6 linked regions of the Xenopus tropicalis genome follow. The protein of the gene in region 1 interacts with the protein of each later gene in a pairwise test. Links are inferred from orthologs where the notes say so. Each region holds a gene or a part of one and is shown in the gene's direction. Other genes may lie near its edges.

Region 1 (3,651 bases):
AGAATTCATTTTGCTTCTGAATGAAGAAGCACTTAGCACTCCACTAGTGATTTATCCACTCCCTTAACTCGCTCGCTCACTTTCTCTCACTACTTTCCTTCCTAGGCTGGAAGATCTAAACCCTGAAGAAACCGACATGGTAAGCTTCCTTCCAAGGAAACATTTCCTCAATGGCTTTTTTAAAAAACTATTTTATTACATTTTTCATTATACGGGCATGGCTTGCACTTCCTGAGCAATGTATCAGATTGTACAAAATAAAGAGCACATCCCTATTAAACACATTTGTCCTTTATTTAAAAAGATTTATTTGAAATAATTGCTTTTAGACTGCAAAACCTTGTGAGCAGGATCATCCTGTTTTATCCTTGTTTTTCATGTGATACTCACCCCTCTTTGTTGTATTATTATTGCAAAGTGGCACTATATACAGAAAATGAAGTCTGATAGCTTTCCAAAATAGTTGCATTGTGTTATTATAAGGTGGGGTTAAAGAGAAAAAAGTTCATGTATAAGGGGTAGGGCCAAATCATTCCTCTCTCTTCCCTCTTGACTGGAGTCTGGAAGCAGTGAGCTGCTGTAAAAGCAGTGTGCTATTTTGGGTACTAGAAGATATATGTTAAAAAGTGGTCGTTAAAACTTTTTAATCATAGCGCAATTTTAATTGGTTATAGCCTGTGTTAAAAACAGGGATGCATATTGGACAGCAAAGCACACAAAGAACACCATTCATTTCAGTGGCCAGATACTTCACTAGTGTCTGTTCCAACAGAAGGATTTCGGTTCTGTTTTCATACATTAACATTTTAAAGCTGCTTTGAGGGGTTTTCTCTGCCTTGCTAAGTGTTCTTAGTCACTTGTCCAGTCCTGCTCATGTTACAAAATCTTGCAGTGAAGATCTTGAACCACTGTGGGGCTAATGTGGTCAGCAGCTTATTAGCACGCGTATGAGGCCCACTGACCTGCATGCCCAGCCAATATCTGGCAGGTTTGAAAAACCCATCAGTAGAGGACCACTTTGGTGTGTTGATGCAGTCCTCATCCAACAGGGCTTCTTAGGCCCTCTGTACTATCCAATCATTGGCCCAGGCTCGACTTGGCCCAGTGCTTTGGTGCCCAAATTGGGCCAATATCCCCTCATTTGGAGGATCTTATTTTGTGCATCCACCTTAAGTCTGACTGCCCTTTCCTGTTCAGCCACAACATATATATATATATAAATTTTTATTTTTTTTTTTATGCATTTTAAATGTATCTTCCACATAATATACTTTAGAGTGTTTTATAAATTGTACACACACATATGTACTGTTAATACCAGTTGCTCTGGTCCACGGGTGCTACATTAAAAAATGTAGCACTATTTCTAAATATGCATATCGTTTATTTCCTGTCTACCTTCCATTTGATTTCCCTGAAATAGACATTGTGAGGATAGCTTATTGTGGGCACCTTTACTCATGCACACACAAATATACACAATTGAGTTCTTTCTGCCATAGAAATTGCCTAATCTGCCCACTAGATGGCAATGTTGTTCTGAAGTCTATGGAGAATGATTCAGTTGAGACAAGCAATGAGGCAGCACACACTTTTTTAAATATATATTTAGATACTTAGATTAATATTTTGTCTTAAATTATAGCTTGATTATTCTAAGTACTATAAATGATTTAAATGTAAGTTAATTAGGTTTTTTCCAAAAGCTTTTCTGCAGGTTATCCCACGTCCAGTCACTCAATTTCATTTTGTATGGCCTACAGACACTGCAGCAGCTATTGGCCCAGTTGGGAGAAGCAGAAGGGGGTGCTGCCATTCAGGAAAATGGAGCACTAATATTAGAGCGGATTCGACAAAGTCAAGAGAGAAGAGAACATATCACAGCTGAAGAAATGGGAGCCGTCATCCAGGAAAGGGATGCTGCTCGTGCTAAGGTGAGGAACCAGACATAAATATATGGGGGAGTTATATCCACAAGTGCAGTCACCATGTTTTTTTCCCCTGAATTCTAATGCCATTGTAGTTGAACAAAGGTGGTGCTCTTAAGGCAATTGTGTGTGCTGCTTACTTTTACGTGATTGCTGATAATTAATACATCTTAATACACTTCTTTTTGGTGTATTTGTTTTTTTTTTTTTGTTTTTTTTTCAAAGTATGATAAATAGGCCCCTACATACACTAAAGGTTAGGCCAAACCCCACTGAGAAAGCATATATGCCCTGATGGGCAGTTAGCATGGTGGAAATAAAGCCAACTTTCTGACCATAGCACTGCACATATTGACTTGTGTAGACAGCCATACAGTCAATTGTCTTTTTGGGTACATGAGCAATTTTTCATTTCATGGTAGTAGGGAGGCTTTATAGCATGCAAACATGCTGAGAATTTAATCAAGCAGTTAGGCACATGAGGGAGAGAGGGAAGATTCAACAGGCTGTTCCTCAGTCCTACTGGATTATGGTCAGTCCAAACTAAACTTTTATTTGGAAATGCCCCACGTTTAGGGTTGCCATCTGACTGGTAAAAATGATGCTTGATGCCAATGTTATTAATAGCGAAAAAAGGCAAAAATATAAGAAGGCTGGTATTTTTATCCAAAAAAGGTGGCAACCCTAACCCACATTCAACTTACTTTCCTAAAGATCCACATGTTTGGGTTCTCAGCCCAAATGAATGGGAAAGGTCAGCCTGTGTATGGGCACCTGTAAACTGTGTATGAACAAGCTAGGAACACAATAGGGGTAGGTAATAAAAGGCATTAAATTTGCCAAGGAGCAGTAACTCATAGCAACCAATCAGCAGGTAGAATTTACTAGTCAGCTGTTTAAAGGCAAACACCTTATTGGTTGTTATGGGTTATTGTTACTGGGTAACTTAATGCCTTTTATTACATATGGGGGTATGTATTTATTTCAGGGGTAGATTAATGAAAGATTGAAAGGGGAATGCAGAAAGATTTCTGGCAGTTCACTGTTTTTAGGTTTTATCCAAATAATTTTTTTTAAAGAACTGAGCATTTATTAAATCTGAAAGGTGTCGGATTGAATGTTTTTGACTTCTTTGAGAATGTTCACTTCCTATGATGTAGGCAGCAGTGCTAAACATTGATATCCATTCAATTCATTTATCACTGGTGCAATATGAATGATTTAAACATTTATTTTCCAGCAGGGACAGGAAATTGTAAAATAGCAAATGACTGGTAATGTGTTGCTGAGAGGTAACTATCTTCACTGTCTGGTAAAATTACAATTTGCTAATCTGCTAAATTGCCCCAGTGTATTAATTTCTGTTTATTTTGTAATTCCTGGTTTTGTTAAAGTTTGTTTTTCATGACACATTTTTATATTAGGCCCCAAACTATAAAAGTCATTTGTAAATCCATAGGTAAATAAGAGGTTAAAAGAATGTCTTTTGGGCCAGTCTCCCAAAATATCTCGTATTCCTGTGCTGTTGAATGCGCTGGGGCTCACAGTGCCTCGTTGCTTTCTCAGGCTGCAGATGCTTTTGCAGGTACAAAGCAACCTTAGAATTTGTAGTCAAAGGTTGCCAGCTAGCAGCTAACTGATTTCCCTTCCTAACGCAGTATAAACATTCACTTGTCTTCCTGTAAACCCTGCCAAATTCCATAATTCCAGTAGCAAAGCAGCT
Region 2 (4,374 bases), on another chromosome or scaffold:
ATCTACTCACTTCCAACTTATCTAATGTCTCTGGATGTCTCCATCAGGAAGTCCCCAGAACAACACAAATACAGGTAGAGAACCAAAGGATTTTTGTACCACAATGACTTATGCTAGTATTCACTGCAATGCTCATAGGAGCAGCATAAATACAGGCAAAGGGTAACCCATTCAGCTGAATAGTGCTCCCCTTTAATATGTCTTTCACCAAGTGCATTGGTGCTGGTTGATCCCCATTCCCAGGAACTTGCCTGATTCAGTCTGCAGGGAGAAGAATGAGCATCTCACTTGCAGCTTCAGTTATACGGGAGTGTCCTCTGGGGGTTAATTTAGCTCTGCTGCGAGGGGGGGGGGGGTGCAAAAGCTGACAGCTTTGCAAGAAGTCCACACATACTGAAAGAAAAGGGAACAAGTGGCAGGGCCGATAGCAGGGGGCAGAGAAAGTGCATGGGACAGATAAGACAATGGAGAGGTGGAAAGAGCAGGGGGCAAATAACTGTGAGGACGGAGGTACAAGAGGTAGAGGACAATTAACAGCAGGGGACAGGGGTAAAGGCTCAGATAACAGAGGGTATTAAGGTCAGGAGACGTACAACAATAGAACTGAGTACAGGGGGTACATAAGAGCAGGAAGCAGTTTAATGGTAGATGTTTTATAAACTGCACCTGAGTAGAACAAAGGCAGAGATGTCAACCAACCCATGTCATGAGGGAGAAAACGATCCACTCCAGGCTTTTTTGATAGTTTATTTAATGTTATCATTTAGTATGATGATAGTATGATTCAGGCCTAAAAAACAGGCCTTGATCATTATTTCCCTCATGACATGGGGCTGTCATGTGATCACCTAGACCACATGTGTCAAACACAAGGCCCATGGGCCGAATCTGGCTGCCTGGCTGTTATATGTGGCCTGTGGTAACCGTGTCTGACTGTGCAGCACCAATTGCCTGACTGTGCCGCTCCAGTCCCAGTGGTGCTGTGACTGTGCCTGACTGTGAGGGTCTATCCTTCTACTACTAAGTATCTTAATAAAAAATCAGGCCGTGGCTTAGCCTGTGTTTTAGATTTCAGCCCCCTTATGTTTATGAGGGGACTTTAGGTCACTAAAAACAAGTTGCATATATAAATTATGCAACATGGGCTAAAATATGCTATTTTCTAGGGACCTCAAGTCTAGTGATGACAGCATCACAACTGCTATTTTTTAATCACTTACAGTCTAGGTAATAACATTACATCATCACAATGTTCTATACATATATATATATATACACACATATATATTATATATATATATTAGATGATGATAGACAGACACATATATATATATATATATATATATATATATATATAGAAAGTGCTAGTGTGCAATAAGCAAAGTTAAACGACATTTAATTTGCAGAAGAGTGACATGAAGATTCACAGCATTATAAATAGGATAATGGCTGGGATAAAATGTATATTCTTTGATTTGCTTTTGAAGTATGATCGACGGACGAGCTGTGTCCAGCTAGGATCTAAACTCCTAATGCATATCAGGCTGGAGTTTATCCAAACGCCGGATGCGGACAGAACTTCCTTTCCGGATTAGCATCTCCCTTAGAGACCAGTACTGAGGCGGAAGCTGTTGTTGCTATGGAAGAGAGGAGTCGTGTATTTCAAGAGACCGTCAGGTAAAGTGTTTTTGAGAAGCCGTATACCGATAAAAGAAAGAAGGAGGCCTAGCATCGCACGTTACTTATAAACAAATGGGCAGGTGCGGTGCTAAATAAATCGACTATGCGTGGAATTATAGGTTGCTGAGGATTTTTTAAATGGAAGAACTGGCCACATACTACATGGCTTTTGGGATATGTAAGACTACACAGATAAACTTTGGTTACGGCTGCCTGGCTAACTGGGCTTTGCGCGTTCCAACTGGGCTAATGACGTCAGTCGCTGGTCTACCGAGTCTGTTGCGCGAAGGCAAGGTTCCACTTTGGCATTTTATTTGTTAAATGTTTTATGTTTTGAACAGTCTGATGTCTCATGTATGATTATTCACATAATGTACAGTCCCCGAAACACAAACAGTGTATGTGAGCTTTTTTGACAATTTCTCCCTGCGCCGTGACGTCATTCGTGTCGCCTTCTCCCCCCCCCCCCAGGGGTCGAACCAGCAGCACTGGTACAGCTAGTTATGCCCTGGTACAGCTAGTTATGCCCTGGTACAGCTAGTTATGCCCTGGTGCAGCTAGTTATGCCCTGGTGCAGCTAGTTATGCCCTGGTGCAGCTAGTTATGCCCTGGTACAGCTAGTTATGCACTGGTACAGCTAGTTATGCCCTGGTACAGTTAGTTATGCCCTGGTACAGCTAGTTATGCACTGGTACAGCTAGTTATGCCCTGGTGCAGCTAGTTATGCCCTGGTGCAGCTAGTTATGCCCTGGTACAGTTAGTTATGCCATGGCCCCTGCAAAAACGCACTGTTTGCAATTTTGAGCATTACATTAAGCCCCTAATAATAATGTATATATTTTATTGAGGGGTAAATACTAAAAAAAAAATGGATTTTTTTTTTACAATGTTTTTGTATATTGGTAGCATAGTTTTATGGCTGTGTTACTTTTCAGACATACACTGGACACACAAGGACAAACAAATGTTTTTGTTTTGCCATAGTATGACATTAAAACGGGTGCAAGTAAAACATGCTACTCACATTGATCTGACGTAATCATGGGAAGATGTGAAGGGAGGCATTTTTCCACAATTAAACCACAATTAAATTGAGCTGCAAGTAATATATTTTACTTGCGCTTATCTTACCTTATACTATGCCAAGTAATTTTCAGGAGACCCATTGCCCGCAGTAGAGCAGATTTAACCACAGGTGACAAATTTCACCCCATGCCACCACCCTAAGGGCTACATTCATCAAATCACTAGTTTGAATCCTGAAATGGGTAAAATTCGGATTTTATACGATAATTTCTGATGATCACAAATATCACAAAAATGCTTACGATCAGAATAGTCACGATAATATAGTATTTGTGCTCCGAAAGTCACAAAATTTTCATTTCCCCCTGTGATTGTAATCACTGTGATACCCCGTGCCAGTGCTTTTGTTAGCAGTTAACTGTACTGGCCCAGGATACATGCAAGTGAGCAATTCTCTTTTTTCTATGGGCCACATGTGTATGTGCAGAAGAAAGAAAAACAGAACTTTGACAAAAAATGCTGGGTTTTTCACTCTACTGCGTATACGTTGGCCCCAGGATCGCTAAGAAAGAAGACAGAAAGATGAGGATCACTCGCTTGCAGGTACCCTGAGCTGGTGCAGGTTTCTGCTAACAGGAGCACCAGCCCAGGGTATCAGGCAAGTGATTACAATCTCTGGGGGGGCTAATATTTGGCACCCCCCAGTGATTGTACCTTTCCTTCTCTTTTAAGGGAACCCTCTGTTTTGAACTGAAAGTGATTATGTTTTTATCCCCAATTTTAGGCTTTCTGCATAGTCAAGAAAATGTCAGAAGGTGCATCCAAAATTTCTGGGCCAATTCTTCCCCATACAACTCAGTTTTTAGACCTGAACAAACGCCCTTCTTCTGGTAAGAATTTTTTCAGGTGTACAACTCCCCTCTCAGTCTCTTTTACCTTTGAGCTCCCATAAACAATCTTGAATTAAAAAATAATATAAGCACATACCCACATAACAGTTTATATGAAAATTAAACAATGGACTCCAGATTTACTATTTTTGAAGAATCTACATAAATTCACATTTAGCTTGTTCATGGCATTTTAATTTGCTAATATTTATAGAAATTCAAAATTTAGTACAAAATTAAATGATTTTTGCTTCTTAGTAATATGGATATTTACCGTATGCTTACATTATTCTGTTCTAGGGCCCAATACAACAGGTTTAATATTGTATGTCCTCATAGATATATTATCTGCCAAACTATTTATGTAATATATTCATTGATGTAGTCTTGTAAAATGATATACATGGGCAAATAAACGAATCAGCCTGGACTAGAGTGTTAAAACATGAGGAATATACGGTTAGAACATATGAGTAGATTTTAGGGACAACTATATAAGCGTAAAAGCAACAAATACCAGTGGTGCCATTAGTCTAATGCCCAGTATGCATAGTGTATAGGGGGCTGATACAGGTATGGGATTCCTTATCCGGAAACCCGTTATCCAGAGAGCTCCGAATTACAGAAAGGCCATCTCCCAAAAATGATTTCCTTTTTCTCTGTAATAATAAAACAGTACCTTGTACTTGATCCCAGCTAAGATATAATTACCCCTTATTGGGGGCAAATCAATCCTATTGGGATTATTCAATATTAAAATAATTTTTAGCGGACAAAA
Region 3 (4,215 bases), on another chromosome or scaffold:
TTAGGCAATGTAGCGCTCATGCTTTATCCTTTCCTCTTGGGTCTTCCAAGCAATGTCCAGCTTCCACCTGAACTTGTGCCAATCCTCCTTGGCCGCCCAATGTCCCCAGAGCATCAGGCCCAGTCGGTGACTCTTTCCTCCTCTGGAAGGACACCCCAGTTTGGAGATGGGACATCCCTGGCCAGCCAGTTGAAATCATCTACTTGGTTCCAATTATTATTGGCCCTGTCTAGGCCGGACGCCTCGTAGTCGCCCAGGATCCCCTCGTAGGACCAGGTGAAGGGGGCAAAGTGCAGTTGGGCGCAGTCCTCGATGATGGCCCTGCTGGTGACGTGAATGTAGAAGCGACAGCGCTCGGTGCTGTGAGTGCGCAGTTGTTGGCAGGGAAAGGCAAACAGGCAGTCGCGACAGTCGTCCACAAACACCGAGGTGCAGACGGGGCCACACAGCACCTTACAGCCCCGCAGGCCCCGGATATGCAGGGTGGCGGGGGAGCCCCTCAGGGTGACGGTGCAGTCTTGCAATTGGCTCAGCGCAACATCTCTCCTCTGGATCTCAGCTGCCTCCATACACAGGGCCTGGCCTGAGAGTCCGCGCAGCCCACACAGGGCCTGGGGCTCCGCCGCTTTGGGTTTGGCCTGAGGTTCCGCAGGGGTGGGATTACTTGCAGGGGTGGGATTCCCCGCAGGGGTGGTATTACTTGCAGGGGCCGCCTCTTTCCTGCGGGATTTGAAGGCAAACTTGCCCCGGGGCTGCAGAGCTTGGCGTTTGGCCCCCAGAGCCCCCTGCATTCGGGCCAGTGAGTCCTGGGCCTGGCGGATATCATAGGGCGGGAGGAACATGAGGCTGTCATTCAGAAGCTTCTGCAATCGCTGCAACCGAGCCGCAGCCTCCCCCAGGGCCCCCGACTCCTCGCTGCCCAACAGCTCCTCGATCCCCGCCCTGTCAGAGCCGAAAGAGGCGATAAAATGGGCGCTCCTCTCCTCCAGCACAGCGCGGCCCTCCTTCTCCTGCCGCTTCCTGTCCGCCTCCCGCTGCCGCTCCTCGTCCCGCCTCTGTAACCGCTCAGGGAGGCGCCCCCGCTGGGCCAGCGACTCTCCCTCTAACTCCGGCTGCATCTCCGGCTCCATGGCGCTGTCTGCGGCGCACTGCCTTCTGGGAGCCGGTACCTCGCAGTCGGCTGATGTTTGCGTCATGAGGTAAAACCAGGCGTAAAAGTACCGCCCCTCTCTGTGATTATTGGTCAACGTCATCAACTATGCGACAGAACCCGGAAGCCAATCGGAGAGGGAGGCGCACACGTGGTTAGAGTGCAGAGATGGGGAAGCGGAGGAAGCCGCGGAGGGAGGAGGCTGGCAGCGCCCTGAGCAAGAAACAGAAGAAGCACCTGAAGGAATTTGGGGAGCAGCACCCCTTCTATGATGCGTGAGTAGCCTCGGAGCATATCGTCCGGGTATGGGGATGGGATGGGATGGCGGGGACTCAAACCTTCTCTCTTAGAGTCTGACATTTCCCAGGCAAACACACCATGGCCAATGCAAGAGTTAAAATAGCAGCTTGAGTGTCAGGAAAATAAAGTAAAAGGGGGGACACATAGTAGTGCCCCCCCCTGCCCTGCCCTGAGTAACCACTTGGGGGCGCACATGGAACAGCAATGATACATAACATTATAGGCCAGAGTTACTGTTATTGCCTTGGGGAGGGGACAAAGGGATCAATGACATGTTCAGATAGAGGAGGGGTAGCTGGGAAGGTGAATATAAATATTGGGCAGAATCTGGAAATGGAGAATCAGCCCAGAGTGTCCCGGTGTCCCGGTAACTATACTCATGTTACTTATCCTGTTCCCAAATGTCCCGATATCAAGGGGAATGTTGGGGGCACATACAGGTGTAAGAGCAAGAAGAGTAGAGACAATGTTGTGCCTTTAGTTAATATATTGGATGTAGAGTGTAAGCTCTTTTGGGCAGGGCTCTCTTCCCCTCTTGTATCGGTTATTGATTGCTTTATATGTTACTCTGTATGTCCAATGTATGTAACCCACTTATTGTACAGCGCTGCGGGATATGTTGGCGCTTTATAAATAAATGTTAATAATAATAATAATAATAATAATTGCACTGAGTGGTATTTTGCAGTATTATCAACATAATGTATAATGCCTTATGGATAGTCAGGGGCCACATTAGAGGCCCTAAAGGGGACATGAGTAGAAGATATATATATATAGTAAGTGTTACCCTGCAGGAACATAAAACCGAGTAAAACACTGATGTTACAAATTGTAACAACTTCTCCACAGCTTACAGACAGCATACAGACAGCATGCAGGAACTACATAACCCACAATGCATTGTACTGTGATGTTCCTTTCCTTATTGACATCAGTGTGCAGGGAATTGTGGGATTGGGAGGATGCAGGCTGAAGGCAGGCTGAGGACATTTTATTTGAGTCTCCAAGTAGCCAGCCGAATCAGCAGGGGAACAGGGGGCGGGGCTTAGGGAACTGTTCCAAACCATATTATAACATTAAAAATCAAGAAAAGGCTGCATATTTTTTGGGTGGAGTTCCCCTTTAAACAGCTAGGTTAGTAGGTACTTTGAGGTTCAGGGGGTTGGTACAGACTACTGATTGTATGTCTTGGTGGGCCCACCAGCTTGTTATTAAACATTGTAAATCTGATCCCTTTTCTCTTTGCAGAGTCTCCAAGAAACAAGAAACAACCCAGGTGGTTCAACTGGTGAGTGACTGTAATGCCTGAGCCTTCCAGTTTAAACAAGAATGTAGCTGTTGCCAATATATACTGCAAATGTCTATTTAAAACCTTCTTTAAACATAAATCACAATGGAAGAGATGGGTGGAAATTTCAATTTACGTTAAAACACTTTAAACCTACTTTATGGACAGATACAGAATTATAGTTTGTGGCTTTACTTCCCCTTAGCTTTATATTTCAACTAATTATGGGTGTAGAACTGTAATATCTATGTGAAGGCATAAGGGAGTATGTGTGTGATCTTTCATGTTACTACCCAGCCATGTTAGTGCAGGTATGGGATCCGTTATCCGGAAACCTGTTATTCAGAAAGCTTCAGATTAAGGGAAGGCCATCTTTCTCTTATTCTCTGCACATGATCCCAACTAAGAAATAATTAATCCTTATTGGGGGCAAATAAATTCTGTTGGGTTTATTTCATGTTTAAATGATTTTTTAGTAGACTGAAAGGGGTTGTTCACCTTTGAGTTAACTTTTAGTATTATGTATGAGAGTGATATTCTGAGACAATTTGCAGTTGGTCTTCATTTTTTATTTGTAGCTTTTTTAGTTACTTCATTTTCAGTTCAAGAGCTCTCCAGTCTGGAGTTTCAGCAGTTATTTGGTTGCTGGGTCCAGATTACCATAGCAACCAGGGAGTGGTTTGGATGAGAGACTGGTATATGAATAGGAGAGGGGCTGAATAGAAAAGAAAGTTACAAAAAGTAAAAATAACACTGTAGCCTCACAGAGTAATAGTTTTTTTTTGAGCTGAGGTCAGTGACCCCCATTTGAAAGCTGAAAAGAGTTGGGACAAGATGGCAAATAATTAAAACAACTATAAAAATAAATAATGAAGACCAATTGAAAAGTTGTTGGAATAGGCTATTCTATAACGTACTAAAAGTTAGCTTAAAGGTGAACCACCTCTTTAAGGCATGCAGATCCAAATTACAGAAAGATCCCTTATCCAGAAAGCCCAGGAATACATTCTAGATAACAGAAACCTGTACATTGCTTTTATATAAAATACAAATGCGTTGCTGATATTTCTAGTTACTATAAGTCTGACTTGTCTGTATTTTAGCCTGAGAGTTCGGAGGATGAATCCCGAAGTGAGAGCGAGGCAGAGAGTGATCCCGAGCCGGTTAACATGTACCACAAGCTGCTCGCCACCTTGAATACTGTGTCTGATGAAGAGGAAGAAGAAAGTGATGATGAGGAAGAAGAAGCCCTAGAAGAAGCAGAAGAGGAAGATGAGGCAGAAGAGGTGGGTGAGGAATCGGAAGCAGAGGATGAGGATAATGAAGATGAGAGTGACGGGGAAGGCCACGGGCAAATGGATGGTAATTATATTTTGATGCAGAAATATTCAGTGTTCCCATATCCTTAGAGCTGGAAGTGTAAGTCTCTCCCCATGTGAAATAACAGTAACTGTGTAACCAAAAAGGTGTCACT
Region 4 (2,726 bases), about 33 Mb from region 1:
GGGGGGTTGGTTAGGGGGCTGGGCACTGGCACGGTATCTTGGGGGGTTGGTTAGGGGGCTGGGCGCAGGCATGGTAGCTGGGGGTTGGTTAGGGGACTGGGCACTGGCATGGTATCTTAGGGGGTTGGTTAGGGGGATGGGCACTGGCATGGTATCTTAGGGGGTTGGTTAGGGAGCTGGGCACCGGCATGGTAGCTGGGGGTTGGTTAGGGGGCTGGGCACCGGCATGGTAGCTGGGGGTTGGTTAGGGGGCTGGGCACCGGCATGGTAGCTGGGGGTTGGTTAGGGGGCTGGGCACTGGCACGGTATCTTAGGGGGTTGGTTAGGGGGCTGGGCACTGGCACGGTAGCTGGGGGTGGGTTAGGGGGCTGGGCACTGGCGCGGTAGCTGGGGGTGGGCTGGGCGCTGGCACGGTAGCTGGGGGTGGGTTAGGGGGCTGGGCGCTGGCGCGGTAGCTGGGGGTGGGTTAGGGGGCTGGGCACTGGCGCGGTAGCTGGGGGTGGGCTGGGCGCTGGCGCGGTGTATCTAACACATTACGCCTATATCACAGCTGGAGAGATGTTGTCGGTTGCGGAACAGTTCTTGGAGCAGCAGATGCACCCTACTGTGGTTATCAGCGCCTATCGGAAAGCCCTGGACGACATGGTCAGCACCCTGAAGGAGATCAGGTAGGGCGCGGGGATCCTGTTGTGCCTGGGGGAACGAGAATTTAGTGTGTTTGTGCCGTTACACCTCCCGTCTCTGTCCCCCCCCCAGCACCCCAGTCGATACAAATGACCGCGAGCTGATGCTGAAGATCATTAACAGTGCGGTCAATACCAAGGCGATCAAGCGCTGGGCGGATATGGCCTGTGGCATCGCTCTGGACGCCGTAAAAACCGTCGAATTGGAGGAGAACGGCCGAAAGGAGATCGACATCAAGAAATACGCCAAAGTGGAGAAGGTGAGACGCCATTGTGTGCCGGGGAATTCCCCTCCCCCAGGTACAGAATATTTAGGTTTTATAGCTCGGGGGGGGGGGGGGGGGGGGGAATATTAAAGTGGTACTACACTTTGAATTCCCACAGTATGGTGTAGGCAGACTGTTTGCAATTGGTCTTTTTTTTTTTTTTGTTTTTGTTCTGCAGCTTTCCAGTTAGGCAATTTTTAGTTATCTTGTTGCTAGGGTTCAGTTTACCCTAGAAACTTAGCAATGGTTTGAATGAGAGATGGGAAGATGAATAAGAGCTACTGAATTAAAAGCTACACAGCAGTAGGGTTTGTTGTTTTGTTGCCAGGGTCGGTGACCCCCATTTGAAAAGCTGGAAAGAAAAAGCAGAATTTAACATTGACTTGCCCCTAAGTGTTTCCTTTCTCCCCACTATTAGATTCCCGGGGGGATTATTGAAGACTCCTGTGTTCTACGGGGCGTCATGGTCAACAAGGACGTCACTCACCCCAAGATGCGGCGCTTGATCAAGAACCCTCGTATCGTTCTCCTGGATTGCTCCTTGGAGTACAAGAAGGGGGAGAGCCAGGTATGCAGAGAGATTCCCGGTGGGGGGGCCCCTGAATCCCCCCCAGTCCGACCCCGCTGACGGCTTATATACAGCAGGGGGTTCTGTTATGACTGGAGCCCCTAGCAACGTAACACACAGGCTCCTCCTACACAGGTTCTGTGCCCCATAGATACCCCGTGCCCCATATGGTTCTTCTCGCCCACCTCGTATGGCGCTTTATCCCCACAATAACATTCCCCCCCCACAGACAGAGATTGAGATCACGCGCGAGGAGGACTTCGCCCGCATTCTGCAGATGGAGGAGGAGTACATCCAGCAGGTCTGCGAGGACATCATCCGACTCAAGCCCGACGTTGTCATCACTGAGAAGGGCATCTCCGGTAATGATCTGTCACCTAGGAACTCTGGGGGGGGGTAGGAGTGCAAGCTTATGGGCCACATACCCCCCAGCTGTGGGGGTCCAAGGGCTGCCTCCCAAAAACTGCCACCCTAGGCACCGGCACCCAGTTACCTATGTATAAATACCCCCTAGCCACAGGCCCTGTGTCCATGGCACCCTGCAGCAGCCCCTGGGGCCATATTTATGCACCCCTAGGGGTATATTTATCATGTGGAGTTAAACATTACCAATGATGTTGCTCGTAGCAACCAATCAGATGCTTTGGTTTTCTAATTGTTGAAATCTAATTTGCTTCCTCTGGGCAACATCACTGGTAATGTTTCACTCCACTTATTACTAGGGATGCACCGAACCCACTTTTTGGGGGTTCGGCCGAAGGGTTAAAAGTTGTCACGCGCTCTGCACGCTGCAACAAAAAATTTTCCCAGTACCATTTAACCCTTTCTGAATGCTATTTATGATTCGGTTCGGCCGGAACCATCGCTTCGGCCGAAACCAAATCCATAAAAAAAAAATAAAGCCGGATTCGGCCCTACTTTTTACACAGCATGATAAATATACCCCCTAAATACCCCCATGGGGCAAGAGACTCCGCCTTCCCTATTTCTAATGCAATTTGTTTATTCCAGATCTGGCTCAGCATTACCTGGTGAAGGCCAACATCACGGCCATACGCAGAGTCCGCAAAACTGACAACAACAGAATAGCAAGGTGAGACCCCCCCTCATACAGAAATCCTGCTTCTATACCGACGGGGGGCCCCAGTTAGGTGGGATTTGGAGAACACCAGTGACCCTTATCCATTGGGGCCTTCAGGGAAGTAATGA
Region 5 (3,049 bases), on another chromosome or scaffold:
AATCTCTTGGGAGGGGGACATATGACGCAGCATGGCAATGAATTTCATACAGAGACATTAGTGAACTGTTACCCTAAAACAAAGAGTTAGTATGGCTGTAAGTAAACTTGAACCTTGTCAATTGGTCTTTGTTGCAGTGGCTTCCCATGGGCAGAGACAGCCCCAATAGAGATACAACTATACCGGCAAAGGTTTCCTAATGTTATATCCAGTGAAAAACATTGCAGTTGTTCAAGGGTAAACACTACCCAGGCTTTATTTTTCAAATGAATAACTAAAGGATACATGGAATAATAAGTAGTTTTATTACTTATGTTTTTTGCACACAGAGGTGCTTACATTTACTCTGAACACTTTCTTGTCCTTTGTTAGGGTACTCCTGCTGCTCCTGCTGCTGCTTTAGACTGGGAAGAAGCCAGGTGCTGCAAGTCCCGCAGATGTCAAGACTGGGTTTTTGACATTTCCAAAGTTCATCATCCAGACAAAGACTATTATGTTCAGGTAGAGAAGCTAAAAAAAGCTCATCTGCAGAATATGGAACAACTGGAGAAAATGTATGATAAAAAATTACATCTGAGTGGGGTTCACAACCCAGAGAATGAACAGGGAGTTGTCAGGGAAGTCTACAGGTAAGCAGCTATTGTCTGTTGTCACCTAGAGTGTTTTGATTGTCACTGCTTGTAGTTTGTCATAGTTCTTTCTACTCACATTGGATCCACCATTACTGACCATGCAGCCCTTCTTTCTATTGATGTCAGTGGCTAGGTGGTTGGCAATTTTACAGTACAAGCAGCAGTGATAATTTTCCCTGTGTGACCTTGCCTTATAGAAGAACACCAAGTATTTAGTATTAAGCAGCTAATAGTATTGGTATGTGCTCAGGTGCTTTTAATTCCTGCCAGCCCTTTTTGACCCTGTCTGCATTATATAGTAGAGGTTCATGAATCACATGAGGCCTTTCAAATTATTTTTTGGGATGGTGCTTGACAGGGGTCCATTGCCTTACTAATATGATTTTATAAATTTAATACAATTTGTTGATGATGTTGCCCCACTGCATGAAGAAACTCAAAAAGTGCTGGTTTAGTAGGCAAAGCATCAGCTCTTACAGTCAGTTAATACTGAAAAATATAGTTGTATTTTTTTCCATCTATTAGTCATTCACCTTTCAGTTCCACGTGTATGATCCTTGTATCCTGCATAAAGTCCCACATAAAGGTCTGTTGAACTATTGGACAGCATGAGGGCAATAATAGAGTTTGGAGGGTCGGATTCAACCCTAGGGCCAGTTGTAAAATTTAATATTTCTTCTTGATTTAGCACTTGCTATGCTTTGTCACTGCTCTCAATGTAGCATTGAAGACTATATCTTTCCATTTCTTACATTTTAGATCAGCATGGGAACCTAAATCTGTGCTTCCAGCTGAATATGATGATAAGTATTTGAAGCACAGCCTGAGTGGAAGTGTCTCTCCCAGCTTATCAGAAAGCTCACATGAATCGACCAATGGAGACAGCAGTGACTCAGAGCACTCTGTATCTGCTAGAAATAAAATTCTTGACATGTGGAATGAATTCACAGTCGAGGATTATATCAGAAATTCTGAATACTTTTCCAAAGAAATAGCAAAAAATAAAACTAGCAAAAAGTCCAAAGAGTGGTCTCACAAAATTACCATTCCTGAACCTTTCCAGATGACAATTCGGGAATCCAAGAAAAAAGAGATGAATATAAAGTCAAAGTCCGAGATTGAGCTGGAAAACAATTTGCTGAAGAAAAAGCTGGAAGAAGAGGCAGAATGCCAAAAAAAATTCAGAGCAAACCCAGTTCCATCTTCTGTGTATCTGCCACTTTATCAGGAAATAGTGGAGAGGAATGAGGAACGACGCAGTTTTGTGAAGGAAAAGAGCAAGGATATTCTACTGGCCACTCAGAAACCTTTCCAGTTTATTGAGCGAGAGGAACGCAAGAAAACCCTTCGACTGGACTTTATGAACCTTTCAACATCAGTACCCAGCGCAAACCATTTTAAAGCCAAGCCAGTGCCGAAGTCTATTTATGGAACTTCTACCGCCGAACGACTAAAAGAAGAGGAATTGTATCGAGGGATCCGGATACATATGAGAGCGCAGGAACTTTTACAAAATTCCTCATATCCTACCATCACTCTTGCTCCTGGCGCTCACTCAGGCACTAAGAAAGGAAAATGCTACAAACCCAAAGAAAAGCAAAAGCACAAGCCCAAAATCAGTGCGACCATACCTCACTCTCAAACCATGCATGAAAATCAGCAGAAACGTTTACCTGAGAGCACATCTACAAAACATGTTACAGTCTGTGAGCCTTTCCAGCTACGGACCTCCAACATTCCCTCTCATAAAGAGAAAATTATAATGGACATTCAAGCAGATGAAGAAAACTTAAAAGAAACACGTTGGCCATATAAATCTCCTAGGGCCCAGGCCCGAATACATTCTTCTGCAGGGACTCTGAACCCACAAGGGGAAGCTCTGTGTAACATCCCAAGATCAACTGAGTTATCAAAGAGGAGAGAGCATGCAATCAGGTAACCATGATTGGTTCATAGGTGCAATTTCATTTCAGTCAGGTTTTTAGAAGACAGAAAAGGGTTATCTGGAGCTGTCAAAGGGATCAATTAGGCATGCACAGGCCTGGAGCCAATTAATTCTTGTAGTAGAAGCTACTAATTAAATATGCAGCCTTTAGGTACTTTCAACACCAATATATGCTGTGTGTACTCGTCTAATGTCACTCTGTGGCAGTCCATTGTTGATAGCCAGCTTATATGCTCAACTCATTGATGACAGCAAAATCTTGAGCTATTGAGTGTCCTGTTAGGAACGCTTTGCATTTTTTAGGCAGCGGTGGGTGCTGAAAACGAGGGCGGGATGGTCAGAAGATCACAGAACCCCCTCTGTTTTTGTTTGTGTGTCTTGAAGTGCAATACTGCACATATTTAATTTCTTTATACTCAGTGTTGGTGTATGTAACTCACTTGAAGAGAACGATGTGTGTCACAACCCATAA
Region 6 (3,651 bases), on another chromosome or scaffold:
GTGCAAGCTGTGAATCACTTGGGGTCTTCCCCACTAGTATAAATCTCTATATTGACTTTGATCCTGCACACTTTCTGCAATTTACTTCAGGGCATCGGGTAAATGATTCTATAGGTGGGAGGTGTTCCCTATAGTATCTATTTGATATCTCTCCATGCAGAACATTTGGACACATAAAGAGGATTCTGACACAGCTAGAAGAATTTGGGCTATGACATAACAAAGGAAAATGTGCCTTCTTAAAGAACTCTATGCAATATTGTGAACATGTTTTAGATGCCAGTGGCTTACACAAGTCATCAGAGAAAATCCAAGCAGTGTTTCAAGCATAACTGCCCAAGGATGTAGCACAGTTTTTTGGGGGTTCATTAATTAATATAGCTGGTTTGTGCCAAATTTTTTCAATGTTGTTAGTTTGTGTTATTATTCCCACAAAAAATGGCAGAACTTCAGATGACTTGGCCTCCGAGCAAAATATCTTCAAGGGGGTATTGCATGCACCCTCCCTTTGATTACTTCCTTGTGGTGGGTGGCAAACTTTAATGGACTTAGTGAGGGGGGCTACAGTACAGCAGACCTGTCTGCAAACAGTAACCGCAAGTAACTACCGAGGGCCTAGTAAAAGGCTACCAGCACTCAGTCACTGCTCAGAGTAGTCCATGCAGTTATACAGTAATAGTGTCAGACAATATATTTAAGAATTGTCTTATTGATCGGCTATATAATACTCAGTTATGAGCAAACCAGGCCCAAAGTCTTGTTGGACCTCGATCTACCAAAGCACCAAACTGTTGTATCACCTGAGGTAACAACCCCTGTAATGCACCCCCCAATGATTGTAATCACTTACCTGTTAGTGCTACTGTTGGCAGAAACCTCCACCAGCATGGGGTACCTGCAAGCAAGTGATCCCCTTCCTTCTTCTGTCTTTGCACCACTTGCACATGAGCAGTACAGTGAAAACATTAACGATAAAAAAACTGGACTGCTCATGCAAGGGCCCCATTCAAGAAGAAAGACGAGAGGAGGAAGAGGATAGGTCTTGCATGGGAACCCCCCACCCAATAAGATTATTTTGCTATCAATATGTCAAAAACAAAGAATTGTTTCATAGGACATTTTGTAAAATACTATTGGCATACTTTACCTTTATAACTGGTTTCTGGTTAATAGATACCTTGCATGTAATACTGTTTTATAGCCAAGAATTTATGTCAAAACCACACATGGGGTAGGCTAATATTATTAATAAGGTATTTGGATTTTTCTCCTTTAACTGCACTAGGAGCAGGATAATGGGAGGCTAGCGTTCAATGATCAGTAATGACATCAAGTAAAATTGTATGGAAATTGGGCAAAAGCAGAAGTTAAAATAGAGTAGCAACGTGTATGGCAGGTACAGAGGAAACTAGTGTGCTAGCAATATAAAGTCAAAATGTATATTCGCATTTGGAACAGCTTAAAAATGGTTTATCTAGATCCCTGAAGTTTCGTTTTAATCTGCAATTACGCTTGTTTACATCTTTATTACTATCTTGGCACACTTTATATACACCATCACAAATCACTATTAATTAACAGCTGTCCTTTGCTGGCAGTTTGAATTCTATTTGGAAGCAACCTCAGCCATTTCTGTGCCAATAGATAATCTTCTACCAGAGCTGACCATAAATCCTGCAGGCATAATTGGCAGCAAGGAAGGCATAAAACTTCAGGCTGCATGCACACTGCATAAAAATAAAATAATGGTGTCATCCAAAGAGATCAGTGGAGAGCCAAGGCATGTTGGGGGCCATAAAAGACTCTCGAAGGACCATATCTGGCCATATCCAGTTCAATATAATGATGAGCTGCTTATAAACCTTATAGCATAAAATACACATGTACATTATACACAATACATGTCCATACATAATTGCAGTAATTGATCTGAGTGATTAAAAAGACACAAATTGTTTGATAACAAAAAATTTAATTTAAACCAAAATCTTTAATTACACAAGCACATCTATAGAGAATTGAAACTGTTTTAAAATGTATTGATCATACATGGCTTTAGTGACAATGCAAACAATAATATAGTATAATTATTACTTGCTATGATAACAATAGTTTTTTTTATCATTTTTCATAGGATTTTTTCCCACCATGCCTACAAAGGATAACTTGGAGAGTTTCCTAAAAAACATTGACGAAATCAGTAAGTTCCTGAACAAATTATAATAAAGGTGGAGCCAACAGAATTTAGAAAAAACGCTTATGAATTATATAAATGAATAACACCATTAAATCTACATGCCAGTCATGTAAGCATGCAACTGTTATTGCTGCTGGAGTCACAACCTTCAGAATATTGTTCTAATTATTTGCAGTCTGTGTTTGAGCATGTGCTCGTGGGTTTTTACCCATGATGTCTTGTAAGATCCTTTAATTAAAAAGGCAGCATTTGTATGATAAAAGTTTGAAATGATTTTAAAGGAGGTTGGCCATTAATTTCTCATGTAATTGAGGCTATGGCTCCTTTATCTGGTGTCATTAAAGTTTAAATACATACAAAAGGTTATTATAATATAAATAGCTCATTATATGTTTAATATAATTACTTAATTGTTATACAGGTATCGGACCCCTTATCCTGAAACCCGATATCCAGAAAGCTCCGAATTACGGAAAGCCCATCTCCCATAGACTCCATTTTAATCAAATAATTCAGAATTTTAAAACTGATTTCCTTTTTCTCTGTAGTAAGAAAACAGTACCTTGTAATTGATCCCAATTAAGATATAATTAATCCTTATTGGATGCAAAACAATCCTGTTGGGTTTAATTAATGTTTTATTGATTTTTTAGTAGACTTAAGGTATGAAGATCCAAATTACGGAAAGACCCCTTATCCGGAATACCCTTGGTCCCGAGCATTCTGGATAATAGGTCCTATACCTGTATACATAATTCTGTCTAGGTGTGTTGTTTCGGTATATATATTGATATCCAAATGGTCTTAAATTGACTTTATACTTACTCTTGTAAAATATTATTAATATCCTTTAGTACAGGTATCGGACCCCTTATCCGGAAACCCGTTATCCAGAAAGCTCCGAATTACGGAATGCCCGTCTCCCATAGACTCCATTTTAATCAAATAATTCAGAATTTTAAAACTGATTTCCTTTTTCTCTGTAGAAATAAAACAGAACCTTGTAATTGATTCCAACTAAGATATAATTAATCCTTATTGGATGCAAAACAATCCTATTGGGTTTAATGAATGTTTTATTGATTTTTTAGTAGACTTAAGGTATTGAGATCCAAATTACGGAAAGACCCCTTATCCGGAATACCCTTGGTCCCGAGCATTCTGGATAATGGGTCCTATACCTGTATATATATTATAGTATATATAGTATATATATATAGTGCCAAACATATGCACAGTTTACAAAGATTGTTCATAATTCATATTGGCCTAGACAGTAAGATGTCATGTATGAATAATGCGATGTAGAAAAATGAGCAAGCAAAGCCAGCAAGTTTTAACTATATTGTTCTTTCACAGCTGATATCATACAAGATTTAAACTCCTCAGATGAGTCACATCGACAAGAGGCTTTCTTAAAAGCAGACAAAAGGCTTGCTCTGTTGAAGAACAAA

The links.
Region 2: the proteins of mipol1 (region 1) and enkd1 interact in binary tests that used the Homo sapiens proteins (3 or more experiments, as listed by UniProt). The two-hybrid records come from large-scale screens. The link is inferred for Xenopus tropicalis from reciprocal best matches to the Homo sapiens genes MIPOL1 and ENKD1.
Region 3: the proteins of mipol1 (region 1) and utp25 interact in binary tests that used the Homo sapiens proteins (3 or more experiments, as listed by UniProt). The link is inferred for Xenopus tropicalis from reciprocal best matches to the Homo sapiens genes MIPOL1 and UTP25.
Region 4: the proteins of mipol1 (region 1) and cct3 interact in binary tests that used the Homo sapiens proteins (3 or more experiments, as listed by UniProt). The two-hybrid records come from large-scale screens. The link is inferred for Xenopus tropicalis from reciprocal best matches to the Homo sapiens genes MIPOL1 and CCT3.
Region 5: the proteins of mipol1 (region 1) and fam161a interact in binary tests that used the Homo sapiens proteins (3 or more experiments, as listed by UniProt). The two-hybrid records come from large-scale screens. The link is inferred for Xenopus tropicalis from reciprocal best matches to the Homo sapiens genes MIPOL1 and FAM161A.
Region 6: the proteins of mipol1 (region 1) and ttc12 interact in binary tests that used the Homo sapiens proteins (3 or more experiments, as listed by UniProt). The two-hybrid records come from large-scale screens. The link is inferred for Xenopus tropicalis from reciprocal best matches to the Homo sapiens genes MIPOL1 and TTC12.

The regions. Positions count from the first base shown.
Region 1 is NC_030684.2:108,906,382-108,910,032, forward strand, and holds part of mipol1 (mirror-image polydactyly gene 1 protein), read left to right. Parts: intron 1-105; coding exon 106-139; intron 140-1,763; coding exon 1,764-1,934; intron 1,935-3,651.
Region 2 is NC_030680.2:41,244,104-41,248,477, forward strand, and holds the start of enkd1 (enkurin domain-containing protein 1), read left to right. Parts: upstream 1-1,554; 5' UTR 1,555-1,677; intron 1,678-1,687; exon of another isoform or gene 1,688-1,760; intron 1,761-1,768; exon of another isoform or gene 1,769-1,969; intron 1,970-3,490; 5' UTR 3,491-3,511; coding exon 3,512-3,596; intron 3,597-4,374. UniProt on the Homo sapiens protein: Microtubule-binding protein which regulates microtubule organization and stability. Promotes the stability of astral microtubules and facilitates the proper orientation of the mitotic spindle.
Region 3 is NC_030681.2:15,265,016-15,269,230, forward strand, and holds the start of utp25 (digestive organ expansion factor homolog), read left to right. Parts: upstream 1-1,294; 5' UTR 1,295-1,318; coding exon 1,319-1,425; intron 1,426-2,701; coding exon 2,702-2,741; intron 2,742-3,844; coding exon 3,845-4,103; intron 4,104-4,215. Other genes in the region: tbcc (tubulin-specific chaperone C), read right to left, coding at 114-1,253. UniProt on the Homo sapiens protein: Component of the ribosomal small subunit processome for the biogenesis of ribosomes, functions in pre-ribosomal RNA (pre-rRNA) processing. Essential for embryonic development in part through the regulation of p53 pathway.
Region 4 is NC_030684.2:142,073,364-142,076,089, forward strand, and holds part of cct3 (T-complex protein 1 subunit gamma), read left to right. Parts: intron 1-550; coding exon 551-668; intron 669-756; coding exon 757-943; intron 944-1,367; coding exon 1,368-1,517; intron 1,518-1,746; coding exon 1,747-1,879; intron 1,880-2,528; coding exon 2,529-2,610; intron 2,611-2,726. UniProt on the Homo sapiens protein: Component of the chaperonin-containing T-complex (TRiC), a molecular chaperone complex that assists the folding of actin, tubulin and other proteins upon ATP hydrolysis.
Region 5 is NC_030681.2:33,459,505-33,462,553, forward strand, and holds part of fam161a (protein FAM161A), read left to right. Parts: intron 1-372; coding exon 373-629; intron 630-1,391; coding exon 1,392-2,567; intron 2,568-3,049. UniProt on the Homo sapiens protein: Involved in ciliogenesis.
Region 6 is NC_030683.2:86,554,426-86,558,076, reverse strand, and holds part of ttc12 (tetratricopeptide repeat protein 12), read left to right. Parts: intron 1-2,134; 5' UTR 2,135-2,148; coding exon 2,149-2,200; intron 2,201-3,556; coding exon 3,557-3,651. UniProt on the Homo sapiens protein: Cytoplasmic protein that plays a role in the proper assembly of dynein arm complexes in motile cilia in both respiratory cells and sperm flagella.